2 linked regions of the Pelodiscus sinensis genome follow. The protein of the gene in region 2 purifies or fractionates together with the protein of the main gene of each other region. This does not show direct contact. Links are inferred from orthologs where the notes say so. Each region holds a gene or a part of one and is shown on either strand. Other genes may lie near its edges. The genes, in order: REPS1 and AAK1.

The links.
Region 1: the proteins of AAK1 (region 2) and REPS1 purify together in Homo sapiens (affinity purification with mass spectrometry; 3 studies listed by BioGRID and IntAct, counting the BioPlex papers as one, with this or other methods). This does not show direct contact. The link is inferred for Pelodiscus sinensis from reciprocal best matches to the Homo sapiens genes AAK1 and REPS1.

The regions. Positions count from the first base shown.
Region 1 is NC_134713.1:99,102,893-99,111,420, reverse strand, and holds the start of REPS1 (ralBP1-associated Eps domain-containing protein 1), read left to right. Parts: upstream 1-4,557; 5' UTR 4,558-4,704; coding exon 4,705-4,857; intron 4,858-8,528. UniProt on the Homo sapiens protein: May coordinate the cellular actions of activated EGF receptors and Ral-GTPases.
Region 2 is NC_134738.1:1,520,842-1,529,303, forward strand, and holds the start of AAK1 (AP2-associated protein kinase 1), read right to left. Parts: upstream 3,760-8,462; 5' UTR 3,411-3,759; intron 3,184-3,410; 5' UTR 2,998-3,183; coding exon 2,835-2,997; intron 1-2,834.

The sequences.
Region 1 (8,528 bases), on a different chromosome or scaffold from region 2:
TAAATATCCTAACACCAGACATAATTTGTTGACTTTTCAGTCAATCATCAATTTGTAACACACCCAGTTCAGAAGTTTGTATCACTTAATTTTTAACTCTAACAAGTTCTCAAGAAGCATTTTTCTTGCTTTTTTTGTAAATAATTTAATTATTACTGATAGAAATGTCAGGATTTGTGAAATCTAAGAGCTAATTTCTAAGTTATTTGCAAAAAAAATATCCTATTGATTTCAGGTGCCTAAGTATCCTCTGGAATCACAGTTAAAGCTGCCTCCTCCTCTTCCTTCTCCCCCCCCCCCAAAAAAAATCTATAATGGCACCCCTGATGAGTCCAGAGTGGCCTGAGGGCTTCAGAAGGGCCATGGGCTTAGGCAAAATGCAGCCCCCATCTGTTAGCATGGAACTCACCTTGAGCTGCAGGCCAGGCAAAAGGGACAAGTGCAGCTGCAGCAAGGGAGCTGCCAGGGCTTCTGCAGAGCAGCTCAAACTGTGGAGGAAGTACACACTGAAGGGCAAATGAGTGTGACACATTCCGATTTTTCACCCACTTTTTCATTTCACAATCTGATGCCATTCAAAAATAGCAGCCTTCCTTCTGTGCCTCATATTTTAATCTAAAATAATCCATTCCCATATAGCTCTTAAAAGAAGAGCTTGGCCAAGAAGCACTGATAATGACAATTCTCTTTGCAAGGGGCAAGAGAGACTAGCAGGCCCTGCATCCAAGGGAGCAAAGGACTGAGTAGCTTCCTTCCTGTGCCCCAAGGATGTGCCTTGTCCCTTAATCTGCTGAGAATCCAGTTCCACCCCGTATGTGGAAAATGCTGTGGCTCACAATCTCTCCAGTCGCAAGGATTGTCACAGTTTGCAGCAGCAAAGGCATGTAGGGCTGCTTTCTGAATCTTAATGAATAACACTTGTTATTTGTTCTTATTCATTAGTTTAGTGTTTAGTTTTAGTTTGACACTTTATTATTTTAATAAAACTGAATCAAATTTGTGTCAATTTTTTTAGTACATTTATGAAAACTACAGGTATTGAGATTACTGATTTATTTCTGAAACTTTCACTAATGCTACTACATACTTAAATCCACAGGCTACAAAAAACAATTTTGCTGAGGATGCCATTTTCCTTAAGGCTGGCCTTGGCTGAAGAAACATATATGCTTCATTCCTGGGAGCTGAAATTCATACAATAACTAGCACTGACTGTTCTTCCAGCAGGTTGGATATGAGGAAACAAAACAATTCCACTTCCATCAAAACCCTGTTATAAAACAGAAAGGAAAATAAAGTCTAAATTCTAGACCTTTTGTTTTTAGGGCATCCTGGCTCCTTTTTACAATGTCTCATTTGGAAAAGCATGGCCTTGCCACTCTGAATAAATTTGATTACATGACAAATGTATCTAATTAGGTTAATGTATTTGGATATCTATCTGTAGAAATCTGTAGCACTAACAGTACAAAGGCTGCACATCACAACAAACCTACAGTTGATTGAAAACTATACAATACTGTAATATTGTAGACCTCTTATCTGGTCATGTGTCAAGGTAGCTGTTGCCTCAGTATCCCATTCAAATAAAGATGGCTCTCAGCCTAAAATGAGCTCCACCATTTCCAGGGTAATTCTGTCCACAAAAATTCAACAAAATAAACAAACTTCTTGTGGATCTTCTTTCTAGTTGTATTCCAAGAAAACCAACCTATCCTGATAGTGGTCCAAGGACCAAACTTAAGCAACAAAAGTTTCTGAGCTACAAAGAGTATCTGGCCTGTTCTTTGGCTACTCTGGTTTTAGACTTTTTGCCAGTCTTACCACAAACTACAGGGAGCTCTGTCTTTTCTCTGCCAGAATCTCCAGCCCTTGGGTTTGAAAAGGAAACAGATGGTCACCCAGTCTTTCAGCAAGCTCTGCTTTCTTGCCCATCCACACAAAGTTCCTCCAATGTAACTGAAATACCCTTACCCAGGGCTTCCCCTTTCTCATCTCTCAGTTCTCTGTAGGATACCTTTAGCTACAGTCACTTCCAAGGCCCCCTCTATGTAGACCCACCAGCAGATCTTTCTTTCTGTGTTGTGAGAGGAAAATAGAGGTTTATATAATATGTTCCCTTTCTTATCATGCCTCCACTCAAGATCATCTCCTCTGAAGAATTGGGTTTTGCCTATGAAAGCTCATGATTCTCTCTCTCTCTAAGTCTCTAAGGACATGTCTACAGAGCAGAGCTAAAGCCAGAATAAGCTATGCAATTTGAGCTACATCAATTGTGTAACTTAAGTTGAAATAGCTTATTTCGGCTTTTGGCACTGTCTACGCAGCGGGGAGTCCGAGGTAGAGAACTCTTCCTCCAACTTCCCTTATGTCTCATAAAAGGAGGGTAACAGGAGTTGGCGTAAGAAGTCCTTCAGCTTGACGTTATTTCGACATTATGTTGAAATAACTACTTGTGTCGACGTGGACTATGTTATTTTGGAAAAATGTCAGTTATTCCAAAATAATGCTGTGTAGATGCACCATCTGGTGCCATGGGACTACTTCTTATATCTGCCTAAGTTTGTCAGTATTCTCATTAACTTCAGTGATCATAGTGATGTACTTAAAATTGATCATATTGATGTACATGTGCTTCAGAGTTGTAAGATTAGGGCTTTAATTACTTAGGGTTTTGGATGCTAGAATATTTTAAAATACAGTGGCCATTTATAAACAGCCATTGAGTATCTTGATGTTTGTATGTCAGGAATGCAAGATCTTCCCCAATAAGTCTATGCATACAGCTCTATTGATTTTCCCTTTGATAAACAGTTACATATGAGGAAAAATTAAGTGGTAAGTGGATATAATTTAGTAAAGTGATCATGAAGACAGGAGGATGAAAAAGATGGGATTTACAAAGATCTGAAGGATGTAAATAGTAAAGATGGAAAGAAATTATGTAGGATAATACATAAAGGATATATGAAGAATTTTACACATGTAAGGACTGCAAATATCTGAAAAGTGACTGGATTTTAAACACTTTTATTTTACACAAATGCTTCTGACAAGAGTCCAGGATTTTTTGAAAATTAAGAAAAGGGCTCCTTTGATCCAGAAAACTTGATAGCATGATCACAATGCTTTTGCATCTGGGAGTGAAAAATTTCCGCCACTTACTGTTTCTTCTTTTTGGAAGGATCAGTAGTAGCAAAAGTCCAGCTCTTCATTCAGAGTTACTGGAATTTTTCCAAATCTTTCCTGCTCATCTCTAGTCTTAGCTCACTTGGTCTGTAAGGACAATGAAAGTTTCTATAGCCCTGAGGAGTTATAGCAGACAGGTGCATTTGACAAAATCTGTTCCATGCTTTATGTATGCAAAAGGAATTTAGCAAGTTAATTATAAATAACCTTTTTAGTATATGTCAATTATATTTTCAGAAGTAAGCCTCAGCATGTACAATCAGCTTTTTAAAACCCACATTCATTTACCTCTTCAGAGCTATGGGAAGGTACTTGAGAGCATGCAAGATTTTAACTGACAACTCCTTTAAACGAATAAAACATTATAACATACTTGCTATATTTGGCATCAGTGGACAAATGCATTTCTAGTTTCCCATTAAGTTGTCCAATACTGTACTCCTTTTCTAAGAAAATTGTGTTTTATAGATGAATATTTTGTCTGTAGGCTGCTAAGGAGGTGGGACAGGAAAAGAATGCTGCACCTCCTTCCTTCTGTCAATGGTCCCTAGATTTGTTCATCCCATGATGATTTTCTGACTTTGATCTTTTTTTTGTTAAAGTTTTGTGGTTAGCTTTGATTAACAGGCAAGCGCTCTTCAGGCTGAATTCACCCAACATAAGGTTTAATCAGAGGTGAAATCCGGTGCACTTTGATGTGCAGCTCCGGCAAGAGCTGGATTGCTACACCAAAAGCCAGCAGGGAGCTATTTAAAGAGCTGGCAGGCACCCTGGTTGCAATGGGACCATGGGGTTTAATCAGTAACAGGAAGCTGGAACAAGGTGTGCAGGGCGGGGGCTGAGAGCCATTCAACCTGCCAGCCCCAGAGAAGGGAGACCACTAGATGGCCGGGCACCCCCTGTTCCAGCACCCACGGTGATCCCTCGTCCCCGCGCCTAGGGCTGCAGCGGTGAGATCTAGCCCCGCCCGCCCTGACTCCTGGGGCACGTCTCTGACACCAATACGGGAGGCGGCTCCGTCCAGGGATCGCTCCATACAAGCCGGGGCGGCCGGGCGGGCACCTGTAACTCAGGTGCCTAAAGCCGCACCACCCAGCGCGGGAGGCACCACGGCGGGGAGCAGCCGCAAGGGCGGGGGAGCCGGCACCAGGCTGCCGCCCGCCCGCCACGCCAGCAGGGGGCGCTGCCGGGCGCCCCTCCCCGCCGACTCCGGCCCAGCGAAGGCCTCACATCCGGGCCGGGAGGGAGGGGCCTGTTTTGCTCCGCAGCCTCCCCGCCCCCTCTCTGGGGCTTCGTAAACGGCGGCGGCTTCGCTGGGCAAAGAGAAGGGGGCGGGGCCGAAACTTTTATAGCCCCGCCCACCCCCCGCGCTTCCGGTGCGGCGCCCTCACAGCGCGAGCGCAGCGGCCGGGCCTCGCGAGGGACCGCGGCGCGGGCGGGGCCCGAGAGGGAAGCGGCGCGCGCGGGATTCGCCCCTGGCCCGCCCCCCCCCAGCTCGTCTCGCGGCCGGGCGCGATGGAAGGCCTGACGCTGAGCGAGGCGGAGCAGCGCTATTACTGCGACCTCTTCGCCTACTGCGACACCGAGAGCACCAAGAAGGTGGCGCCCAACGGGCGGGTGCTGGAGCTGTTCCGCGCCGCGCAGCTGCCCAGCGAGGTGGTCCTGCAGGTACCGGCCGCTTCTCGCCTTCCCCCCGCCCCCTCGTGGGCCCCGCCCGCTTCCCGGCGCTGAGCCGCCCCTCAGCCCCCCTGGGTGCAGCGGGAGTCGCGCCCCCCTACGGCCTTGTCATCCCTCCCGGGGGAGCCTGGCCCGGCCCGGTGGCTGCCACAGGTGCTGGGGCGAAGGGGGGGTTATGGCTTGCAGCGGTCTCCGTTCTGCGCAGGGGTTACAGCTGGCTTTAGTGGCTGTCAGCGCCCACGTTTCCCGCACCCCGGCCATTGCTGCTGAACCAGAGGCGGGGGAGGGGGCGTCTCTCAAAGTCTATCCCTGTTCTGCCTCTGCAGTGGGGGCTCTGTGCTGAGGGCAGGCACTGGGGTTAACTACAGGTTAGGGGTTGGTGTATGTGACCTGCCTGAGGGACAGTCAGGTGTTCCTCTCCCGAGAAACGCTGTGCTGAGGTATGACAACTTCAGTGCTGTGACTCTTGCTGTGCTTGGGCTGTTGCCCCAGCTGTACTGGGAATGGGGTAATTTTTGTGTTTATCCGAGTTGGAGCAAAGTGGAGGCTCAGAGCATGTTGTCCTTCAGATCTTACTAATATTGAAGTCTTAACTTGCTGGGTTGCAGAGGCTACCTGAATGAGTTCCTGTGGTCCTATTAATCTTAGGCTGAGAAGTATGTCACTTGCAAAAACTATGGGAAAGTCCATCCGAAGCATAGGAATTTGAGCACTGCTGGGAAGTACTGATAGCAGGATACGGGAAATCTGTACTTTTATTCCTGTTTGTGTTTCTGGCTCAGTGACCTTGTTCAGATAAATAACTCTCTACTTTTTTTCTAATTTGAAAAAGTAGAGTACCTGCAGATCTTATAAAGTGCCTTGACATCAGTGAAAAATGCAGTTTTAAAATTGGATAATACAGGCAGGTTGTGCTAAAGCAGTAGACTCCCACTAGTAATGTGTGGAAGCAAAGTTCCAGCACTACTACTGTAACCAGTGGGAACTGGGACTTATGTGAAAGCTACATTACTGAGTTACAAATTGTGCTACCAGTGTAGCTAAGGGATAATTTAGCATCGTTTGTCTAATATAGTTCCTAGAAAAGTATCCACAGGGGAACTATAGAGGCAATAGCTTGTGTGTGCATCCACCATAATATGTTCATGGCTGTGATATGTTTGTGAAGTGTAGTTCCCTGAAAGAGGCTATAAGCAGAATAAAGTGTTATTTCTAGAAAGCCATACCATCTCATAGGTACACTGTTGCCTCAGTGAAGAGTCAGAGTTGCTTACTGTTATCCAAGACCAACAAACATGTATCCATCAGCTTCTTTCAACTCAGAAGAGGGTTTAATTTCAGGAGTGTGTACACACTTTATCAGGGAGCATTGGTGTTGCTTTTTAGTCACTTAAAAGCAAGAGATTTGATTAGGTGAGAGGAGTTTAAAATGAACCAGATCTCTTTATTCTATTTAGCTGAATCAGTTGATAAGTTGTGGGTAGTATAAAAATATGGCAAGCACTAAAATTAACTTAAATAATCATGTTTCCTAGTAATTTATTTGTCCTTATTGTGTTCATGATCTACACTGTTTAAATCTCTAAATGAAAACTTGTTTTTCAATATTTTATTAATGAGATCTCAAGGGCCACCCAAATATTAGTATTTGTGTTCTGAATTACACAATACCCACAGTCTTTACGCTCATCATATGAACACAGCTGGATGTGTATTGTTTAGTGTCTCTTCTACATAAATCTTGAAATGTTGTGTGTATATAAACTAGTACAGTGTTGGCATGCTTTACTTGATGCAGTAGCTTAGTGGAATAGTGTAATCTTGTGCTTTGTATATCACTAGTCCCAGGTTCTAGGAATGTAACCAGTTAACTGGTAAGCATCACCATTACTGGCTGATGCTTACCAGTGAGCGCAGCATGGCATGGTACAGGCAGTCCCCGGGTTACGTACAAGATAGGGACTGTAGGCTTGTTCTTAAGTTGAATTTGTATGTAAGTTGGAACTGGTACATATTTTGGGGGGGGACGGGGAGCTGGAGTTAGGTGGAAAAGACCCTGATTCTCATACAACTTCCTTATTCTAAGAAAAACACATACTGTTTTGATATGAAGGTTTTTTTGGTTGATATTTTAATTAAAAATTGATCATAAGTTTCAGTGTTTCATGCTATATCCAAATCTTCCTTTTGGGGTACCTGAAAGATCCCAGTTATTCATTTAATAGTCAGAATCTTTGTTTTTTATATCTAAAAAAAGTTTATTCAATGCATATTACTGTTTCAAATAGAATTTGCTACAGATGGTTCAGTGAAATGGGTATTAAGTGTAATCAATAGTCATTGGAGAGCACAGTGAAATATTGATACAATCAAAGCTGTTGTATTCTGCTGAGCAGAAAATGGAAATCCCTTCCTGTGAAGTAAGTGTGTGTGTGTGTGTGTGTGTGTGTGTGTGTGTGTGAATTTATCCACAGGATTAATTTTAAAGAAAAATTCTGTGTTGGGAACAGGAGTTTAGCCACAGGTGGGTCCTCATTGTCCACTCACCCACTTTGCAACCAGACCCATCCCCTCGGGGCTTACCCTGCTCCGCTCCAGCCAGGGTGTGGGGTTGGGGCTTATCCCCTCTTCCCTTCTGTCCTGCACCTCCCCATTCTTGCCCACCCACACCACTAGGTAATTTTTCAGCTTCACCTCTGCCAGGCTGGAAGGGACTTGTTAATTTCACGTGACGCTAATAAGATACTTGCAGCTCTAGTGCTGAAGAGGGAAAGAGCTGTTGCTCCCAAGGTGGGGACTGTAACACAATGGGTCTCACTGCCTGCTGCTCCTGCTGTTCCCTAGGAAATTAATTTTTCCGCTCTGGGGTGCCCCCTTTTGGCTGGTGTCTTGTTCCCCCCCAGCAGACCTGCATCCTCTGCGGTGAGAAAAGCCGCTCCGTGTCTCCCTGGTCTGCTGGGGGAGGGGGAGGGGCGCTAGCTCTGCGTCTACCTGGTCTGCTGAGGAGAAGTGCCCCCTGTGCCGCCGGAGGTGGCGACAGTGGGGGAGGCACCACGCACTAGCTGCGCCCCTCCCCCCCGTTTGTAACTAGGGATCCGACATAAGTCGGATTGATGTAATCTGGGGACTGCCTGTATTGTGGCCTGGCTGGAGACCCCTTTCCAGGTCACCTGCCCACATGACCTTGGTTAAGTGTTCAATCACAACATTTAATTGGTTAAACAGGATTTTTACATCCCTAACGGATTCCAGTCCTACTTAGCCTGTCTCAAGGGAGGTAAATATTCTCTTGCAGATTGATATTCTCTTGCAGAGTAATGAATGTTTGGTGGGGAAAATGTAAATTACATGATTGTAAATGAACTGGATAAACCTGGGTTTCATTGTTGACAGCTCAATGAAGATATCTTGTCAATGGGCAGCTGCAGTTAAAAACCAAAAGATGTTTGGGTGTGTAAGGAAAGAGATGATGAATAATACAAAGGATATAAAATGCACTTATAAATCACTAATGTGGCTTCATCTAGAATGCTGTGTGTGGTGCTGGTATCCTCTCTCTCAAATACTAAACTAGAGGAAGTTCAGAAGAGAGCAATGAATGATCAATGCTTGGGAAGAGGGGGGACTCTCAATGAAGATTGGAAAGTCTAAGGTGTAGTTTA
Region 2 (8,462 bases):
CCTCATTCTAGCTGCCATATTCCCAAATTAAAAATCAGACTATGTGACAGGAAAGGAAGCGTCCAAACAGAATTTGTATCAGGAGAAAGTCACACCCATTTTCATGGTGGTGTCACAGGAATCCTCGCAGGGGACAGTGTTTAGAAATCTGTCATTGGATGCATTCCAAAAAATGTACTGTCTCTTCCAGAATCCCTTTATGAGCCAGGATAAGTTTTCCTCAGCTGAGTTTTCCCAGGACAATCCAGAGGGGGTGACTGTAAGTCCCATTAAGCAGAGAGAAGTCCCTTGCTACTTGAATTCCAACAGTGCTGACAAAACTGAGGAACTAGTTTAACAAGGCGCATATGCGTTTCCCATCATTCATTATTTCAGACTCCAATTCTTAAATCACTTTCGCAATAACCTGTCTTGCTTCTGACTGCCTATGCCAGTGCCATTCTACCAGCTTGCCATGCTTAATTAAACAAGGGGCAGAGGAGGGCCATCGTCTTTCCCAGCCAACAAAGGTCACCTCCTCTTGGGAAGTGTCACTTCCTAGGTGGTTTCGCTCTAGCGGAAGAGGACGAGGCTTCTTGGCTCAGTCTCTCAGAACTGTCAAGTCAGTGACACACTTTGGCCTATGGGTGCAAACATTTCCATCCGAGATGGATCTAGATTGCACCAACTCAAGGTCCAAGTTGCTAGGCGGTTCTCCAGAACCCTACACGTTAACAGCCCTGAATGGGCACTGCGGTGCCACACTGAATGCAATGCCAACAGGCAGGAAAAATGCGACGCTGCAGAAAGTTTGACCTATGCTGCCTTCTCAAGTGACCCCCATTTCTTTGGCTGCACCCTCTATTTATGGAAGGGTGGTTTCCTCCATTCCCCCTTCCTCCCAGGGGCAGAAGGGTCCCATGGGCCTTCACCAAGCCACTAGCCCAATGCTCTGCTATTAACCAGTCACTTGGCAAGGCCTTTGGGACATGCACCAAGGAGGCGAGGTGCTGAGTCTCCTTTGGAATTTTTGACCAGTCGTAGCAACGGGCTCATTTGAGGGACAGAACCCTGGCCCCAGCATCCAACAGGAGAAGGGACTCAGCTCCTCGCACATCCCTGTAGCCTTGCTGCAAGGCATGAATCAGACCTGTTTTACAGGGTTAGCCGTGCCCGGATTCATTTGTGCAAGCAGGCTGATGGCAGAGTCGGGACCAGGAGTCAAGTCCTTTGACCCAGTCCAACCCCTAGTCAGCCAACCGTATTGAAAGCCAGGTTTAGACTCCAGGAGTCCTTAATCCTTGTCCCTGCTCTCTGCACCTAGACACTCAGTCACAAAAGGTCTCCAGCAGGCGGTTGTGTGACTGATAGCACAGCAAGGGGCCAAGTCTCCCTGCCTCTAGCCCACCCCTCCTAAGCATGGGCGCAGATGAACTGAAGCGCACAATGCATCCTAGGAGGGCTGATCAGGAGAGGTCCCAGGAGCATGGAAGCTTTCTCATGCTGCTGTCAGCATCCTGGGCAGGACCTGCCAGCGGAGATTATTCACCCGCAAAGAAATGTATTTTGCCTGTGTTGCAGGCCAGAGAACAAGTTTTAGGCCAGCTGTGTAATGACAGCAAGACCAGCTGGTAGTGAGCCTCCTTCCTGGACTCCCGCTGCCAGCAGGCTATAGTCCTTAAAGGCCAAGAGACCCAGACTGTACCCGTAAAGTCAGTGCCTCACCCAACAAGAACAAGTTCTGTATAACCACCTACGAGCTTGTGGGGTGTTTCCAGATGACAGGTTTTGGCCTCCTCCCCCATCTCATCCCCAGCGCTCACCAGAGTCACCACCCAGGTAGGAACTGAAATCAACAAAGACTTGAAAAGATGGTTGGAGATTCCTAACACACTGCTCCCTTTCCCCTCCTCCCCCCACTCAGTTCTCATGCACCAGCTTCCTTCTCTCTTTTAACCCTGGCCTATTCCAGGCAATCCATTTGCAGAACCCTAGACAACTGACAAAACACTGGTCTGACTGAAGATTCAGAGGATGCTGTGCAAAGGATGAACTGTGAGTAGATCTAGGGAAGGCAACATTATTATTCTGAAGGTCGAGGGTAAGGTTACCAGCAAGAAGCATTCAGAAGATTCTGTTAGTGCCTAAGCACATACATGACAAGTAAAATTCTAATTACAGCAGCAGTGCTCCAGATAAAATATTAATTTACACACACTTCACCAGTTTTTTACATTGCAAGAATGTCACATCTAATGTATAAACACCTTTAGGATTTCAAGCCCTTCCTGTTGGGTTTTTTCTTCCCCCTTTTAAAGTACTTTACAACCCGAACATGTAATCTGGATTCCAGTTTTCTTTGCAGTAGCCCCGCATATACAAACAAACAAACAAACAAACAATCCCACACCACAACCAGCAGTTAGCCCTGGTTGATCTATAAAATATGACAGAGAAAATTTACTTCAAGGTGTCCCCCGATGAAGGTGGGTAGAAGGAATCAGGCCAAAAAGTTAGAAGACCACTGCTTTTGTTGTTCATAAGTGCATCTTTCCCCCACCACAATGTACCATGATGGTTGTTTTTAAAGCATTCCAAGTTTGAAGCTGGGAAAATCCAGTACCTGCTGTTTTTATATTGTCCCTTTGGATTTATATATATAAAAATCACCAGCATTACCTGCAATTGATTTACGTATCTGAGAAACCAGTCAGCTGTAGAAGCCACCAGTTCACAAACCCCTCCAGGGCAATTAAATTTTGAAAGGGGGGGGGGGCAGAAATATGATTAAAGAAAGGCCCAAGCCTCTGTTTGTAGTTAATGGAAAAGGGAGAATAAAGACACTGCATTCTTACCTTCAGCCAGCACTTCATCCACCGTCACCTGGTATCTCCCAATATGGAACACCCTGCCAATGTACCCACTCCCTGGTCCGCTAGAACTGCCGCTTCCACTACTGGTACCAGAACCAGGGCCAGAACCCCCCAGCTCTCGACGAGAGTCAAAAAACTTCTTCATCTCCCCAGAGATATAACTGTATTATAATCAAAGGCGATGTTATTTTCCAAGGTCCAATATTTTCCCCTTCTTGATTCCAGCCAATTAAAATAATCCACTCCCAGCGGTGATTTTTGCTTGTTTGTTTTAAGTAGGGCAGATGATTTTCCCCCTCCTCCTGGCAGGCAGAGCTTGTAAGATTTAGACCTGTAATGACAGTATCAAAACAAGGGAGGGGGGAGGACAAACAATTACAAATACTTAAAAAAATCAGCCAGACCCTGGACAAAATTAAAACCCCCAAAGATGTTCCCACCGTTCCCCTAAATATTAACAGACAAATTCTTGCACTCCTCCCACCAAGCACTGCAAGCAGTTGGTTATAAAAGAATGATGCACCTCTCCCTGGATCCCTGCCCCCCATTCACACACACCTAGGAGCTAAGGGGAAGGCTGCCCCAGCCCTTTACTGCAGAAAGGCTGGACCTACCCAGCTAGCAACTTGGCCACAATGTTACCATTGCTGCAGCCGCTCTACGAGCCCTGGATGAAACACTGTTATAAGGTACCATTGCCACTCAGGGAGGCTAACAGCAGCTGATAGCCAGAGACCATTACAGGCTGAGCCTGCTCCAGCCCCCCCTCTGCTCCAGCTCCATCCAACCAGGAAATGAACTGTCACAGGAAGTCCCTGCTTCAGGGAGGGTGGGTGGAGTGGGGAGATGGTGCCTGGGTGATTTCCCATCCCCCCACCAGCTTTTTTTTAACCCCTTAATCCCCAGCATGAGTCTCCCGCCTGCAAACAGGTTTCAGGTGACGAAACAAGGCAAAGGGCTGGGAGGGGCAGGGGGGCGGTGGGGGGCTCAGATCCAGCATTAAAGCAGCAGCCCAGGAAACTGGGCATCAAAGAGTGTTTTTTTTAAACTGCAACAGACCTCTGTCGCATGGCATTCTGGGAGTGGTAGTTCTCCCGGGTGGCAGCTCCGGCCAGCTGTGCAGCGAGAGGGACTACAATTCCCATAATGCACCAGGAGAGGCGCTTGCGTGGGGGGTTAAGAGTAAAGCGTGGTGGAGAGTTTAGTTGTCACCCTTGTTCAGTGCCCCCTCTTTGGTGTGGGTTTGATTAATTAATGAGTATAAAAGCAATTTCCCCTCCTCTTCCCCCCTGCCAGACTTACAGCAGGGGCGCCTGGGAGTTGTAGTTTCTCTGGACCCCACCATGGCAGCACCAAGAGGGACAGCATCCTGGCCGGAAAAGCAGAGAGAACCCGTGAATCGCAGAACTATAGGCCTGGGAACGACCTCCAGAGGTTATCTAGTCCAGGCCCCTGTAGTGTTCTCCAGTGGACCTGATTTCCTGGCATCCCCCATCCTGCTTTGTAGGAGTTTATCTACTCAGCCTCCTTAAACAGTCAGCCAGCTGCTTAAGCAAAACGAACAGGCTCTGTTGGAATTGGGAGAGCAGGGCTGTGCCTTAGCCATGTGAGCTGTTTGCTATAGCTGCACTTTTTAAAAAACAAATGTCACTGTAACAGTCACAAATCTTCAGCGAGATGCAGGGCTTGCGATTTTTCTCCTGAGCCACGGAAGATGCTGGGGTTTCATAAAACCCCCACACCTGGGAAGCATGTAATTAGGAGAGACTATCACTTTTTTTTAAATCAAAGCTAAGTTCCTAGCCTTCATGCCGGATGGCGGCATGGCCTGATTGTGCCTCAGAAGTTCAGAAGACAAGAGGGCAAACAAAAAGAATCCAAAGTTTATCATTTTTAATCCCGTGGTTTTTAAGCCAATCTCAAGATTTTTTGTAGTTTGGCTTATGAATGTTCGGAGTTGGCAAGACTCATTATTTGTTATTCTATTATTTCTTTTTCATGGCATCAAAGAGTTGAAGGCCAGAAGGGACCACTAGATCCCCTGTGTACCAGAGGCCACTCACCAGGCTTCTGGAAAGGGGAGGGGGTGACCCTGTGCTCCCAGAAGGGGCAGGGCCTCAGGCTGTAAGAGCAGGGATGGGGGGGCAGGACCAAGGTATCTGAGCTTCATTGCCACCGGGACCACACCCCCACCCCTTCAGCAGCATCTGGAACAGCAATTTAAAGAGCCCTGGGTGTCCAGCCACTGCTGCTGCCGCAGTAACAGTGGTGGTGGCAGGTGCCTTAGGCCCCTTTGCCCCTCCCTGTCAGCAGGCCTGCCTACCATCAAATGCTGGGAGGGCAAAGGCGAGGGGGTGCCAAAGAGTACCATTTGGCCTAGGGCCAGTCCTGGATGGCTGGTCCACAGCTCCCCCCAGCGAGCCCCCAAAATTTGCCACTGCAGTAGCTAGTCTAGCTTCACAGGGCAGGGTGGGTGCTGGATGTCAGCTCTTTCCCCACTTTCTAATGCTAACTCGCAGTGTGATCCTGAGCACGTCACGTCCGTGCTCAGTGCCTGTGTTTCCTGTCTCCCACCCTGTGCTTGCCTCTGTTTACACTGAAAGCTCCTTGGGGCAGAAGGTGTCTTACAGCACCTAAGACGGGGCAGATCAGCCCACCAAGCCTTTGGATTCAGCCCGTGGGGGGCCATGTGGGGTGACTTTGCACGCACGCCTACACACACATACACCCCATGCAGCACAATCATCGCAACTCCTATTGGCTGGTACAGAGAGTCATGAGGCACCCGCAGCCAACTACTTTGAGTGGTCTGGGACTGTGGCAGGCACGGAGTCTGCCTGAAGTTCCCGCTGGGCTGCTGGCTGGGAGCTGTCAAGGGTAAGTGCCTCCTCGCCAGAGCCTGCCTCTGGTACTTTGCCTCATCCCATATCCGAACTCCCTGCCCTAGGTCACTACTCAAGAACTCCCTCCCAGACCCTGCACATCTTCCTACACCACTCCCACAGGCCAGAATCCTCTCCTGCATCCATACCCCCTCCCTGACTATGCACCCCCTGCTGCACCCCAATCCCCTGCCCCAGCTCACAACCCCCTCCTTTACCCAAACTCCCTCTCAGACCTGCATCCCTGTTCCCTAGCCCGAGCTCCCTTCTGCACCCAACCTCCATCCCAGACCCTCCATAGAAGAGGCCGGCCCTTGACCACTTACCAAAATCTCAGAGTGGCTCCCAATCAAAAATTATCGCTCACTCTGGCATAGGACAATGGGCCCCAATTTTGGCTGAAGCCTGAAATTTCTCTTGTCACAGAAATAACATCAACACATTACTAACCTATTCTTCTCTGTGTGCCAGTCTGGTTCACCAGGCTGGTGAGGGGGGAGAGTTTTTAGGGTTTGTTTAATGTAAATAGAAGCTTTGGCCTTGGTCTGCTGGGTCACCCTTGGTCAGGGGTCACCAACCAGTCGATCGGGATCTATCAGTAGATCTTGGAACCTCTGACAGGGGATCCTGACGGGTTTGGCCGGGAAACTCTCAAGTGCTGGCACTTCAGTTGCCCCTCCCCCACTGTCATGCTGCTCCTGCCCTCTGCCTTCGGCTGCCCCTTGGAAGCTTCCTACTTGCTGTGCAGGGTGTGGGAGAGAGAAGGGGGGGCTGATGTCAGGGTGTCCCTCCTCCCCCCACTCCTGTACCCTGTATCCACAGAGAGGGGGGGATGGAGGGAGCTTGGCAATGCAAATCTCTGTCACGCCCACGCACTGTGTGTGTCTCTGTCACTCACAAACACACACTGTCCTTCCCTCTCATCCCCTGACCCCACACGTACATGGGGGGTTGTTGCTACTTTTACTGCTGGCAAAGTGGGTTCTGTTTAGTGTTTGACTGGACTGTGCATTTCGTAACTTTCATTTCTCTCTTACACTTAAATTTAATTCTTCGAGTACTAAAATGCCAAACTGGTCATGTCTGGAGTAATTATCCCTGGGGTTGGTTGTGCTCCTGGAGGTGGCTGGCATGTCTGCAGCCCCCTAGGGAAGTCAGAGTATGCTGTCCTTGTCAGTAGGCACCACTCCTGCAGCTCCCATTGGTCAATGATGGAGAACTGTGGCCAGTGGAGGCAGTGCCTGTGGATGAGGGGCAGCACATGGAGCCATTGCTGTACATGCCAGGTGCTTTGTGGGGGTGGGACAGGGCCTGGGCTGTCTTAGTTCTACTGTGTTATTCCTGGGCAGCTGTCTAGCAAGACTTGAACCTACCCTGCTAGGCTCCCCAGGAAACTGCCCTATCCCCTAGACCATTCCACTGCCCACTCTACAGCCCTGCCTTCAGAGCGTCCCTAGTCCTGTGTCTGGTCACTCCCAGGGTGGGCAGAGGGGACGGCTTGAAGGTAGGGAGGTGGAGTGGGATCTCCAGTGAACTTGGGGATGGGCATTAGCCTCTGGAGCACAGGGTGGTGGGCTCCGTGCCACCCCCTCCACCCACTCAGGCAACGGCTGGGCTGCCAACACAGGCTGCCTGAGGGGTGGAGCTGGCTCTGGATTAGGAAGGCAGGATAAGGGACCTGCTGAAGGTAGAGGAGGAGGGGGAACAGGGCTCTGGAGTGGCTTGGAGAATGGGGTATTTGCCTGGGGAGCACAGGATGGTGGGTTCAAGCCCAAGTTCTGCTGCTGGCAGCTCAAGAACTAACCCCCCCCCCCCACACACACACACACACAGAGGGAGGTGGGCTGGGCTCCCAAGTGGGCCAGGAGATACAGCACTTGCCTGCAGAGGACAGGGCTGTGGCTTGGAGTCTCCATTTCACCCAAGCTGCACCCATCTTGTGGCAACCAGACAGCCACCCCAGGGTCTAGGACCCACCAGAACTGGGTGGGCTCAGCCCTGGAGTGGCTTAAGGGATAGAACATTCCCCTGGAGAGCACAGGGTGGTGGGCTCAAGCTCTAGCTGCCCCAGGGATGGGCCAGGGTCTGGCAGGAGAAAGGGACCCCTTAAAGGCAAGGGGGGGGGGGGTGGACCCTGGAGTGGCCTAGGGCAGCACCCCTCAGCCAGCAGTACAAGTACCCTTAGGGGTACCCAAAGGACAGGGGGTGCATCAACAACTGCAACTTGGAGAAAACTCAACTTTTATTTTAAGTTTTACAGCTTTTTATTATTTTTCTACTTTTTACCAAATATTTCATCAACTACAATTAAATTGTTAAACAAATTGTGTGCAAACTGTAGGTACTGGGGGTACTTATTATTCTTTTTTTGAAAAAGGGGCACTTTATAAAACAAGGTTGAGAAACACTGGCCTAAGGCATTTGCCACACAACCAAGACTAGAGCCTGTACCCCTACCCCAGCCTGGTGAAAGTGAATACGATGCGGGGAGGAAGGGCAACAGAGCGAGCAGGGGGAGGCGTCAGAGAAGGGGTGGAGGAGGGGCAGGGCCCCAGAGATGGGGGGATGGGGGGGAAGGAAGCCAGGCAAGGGTATTTGGGTTGGGGGTAGATCTTACATTGCATTTAAATTGAAAAAGTGATCTTGTGGTTAAAAAGGCTGGAGACCCCTGCCCTTGGTGGGGCAGCTGTCCCCAATGGACACTCTGCAGGAAGCTCTCCCCTGCGGT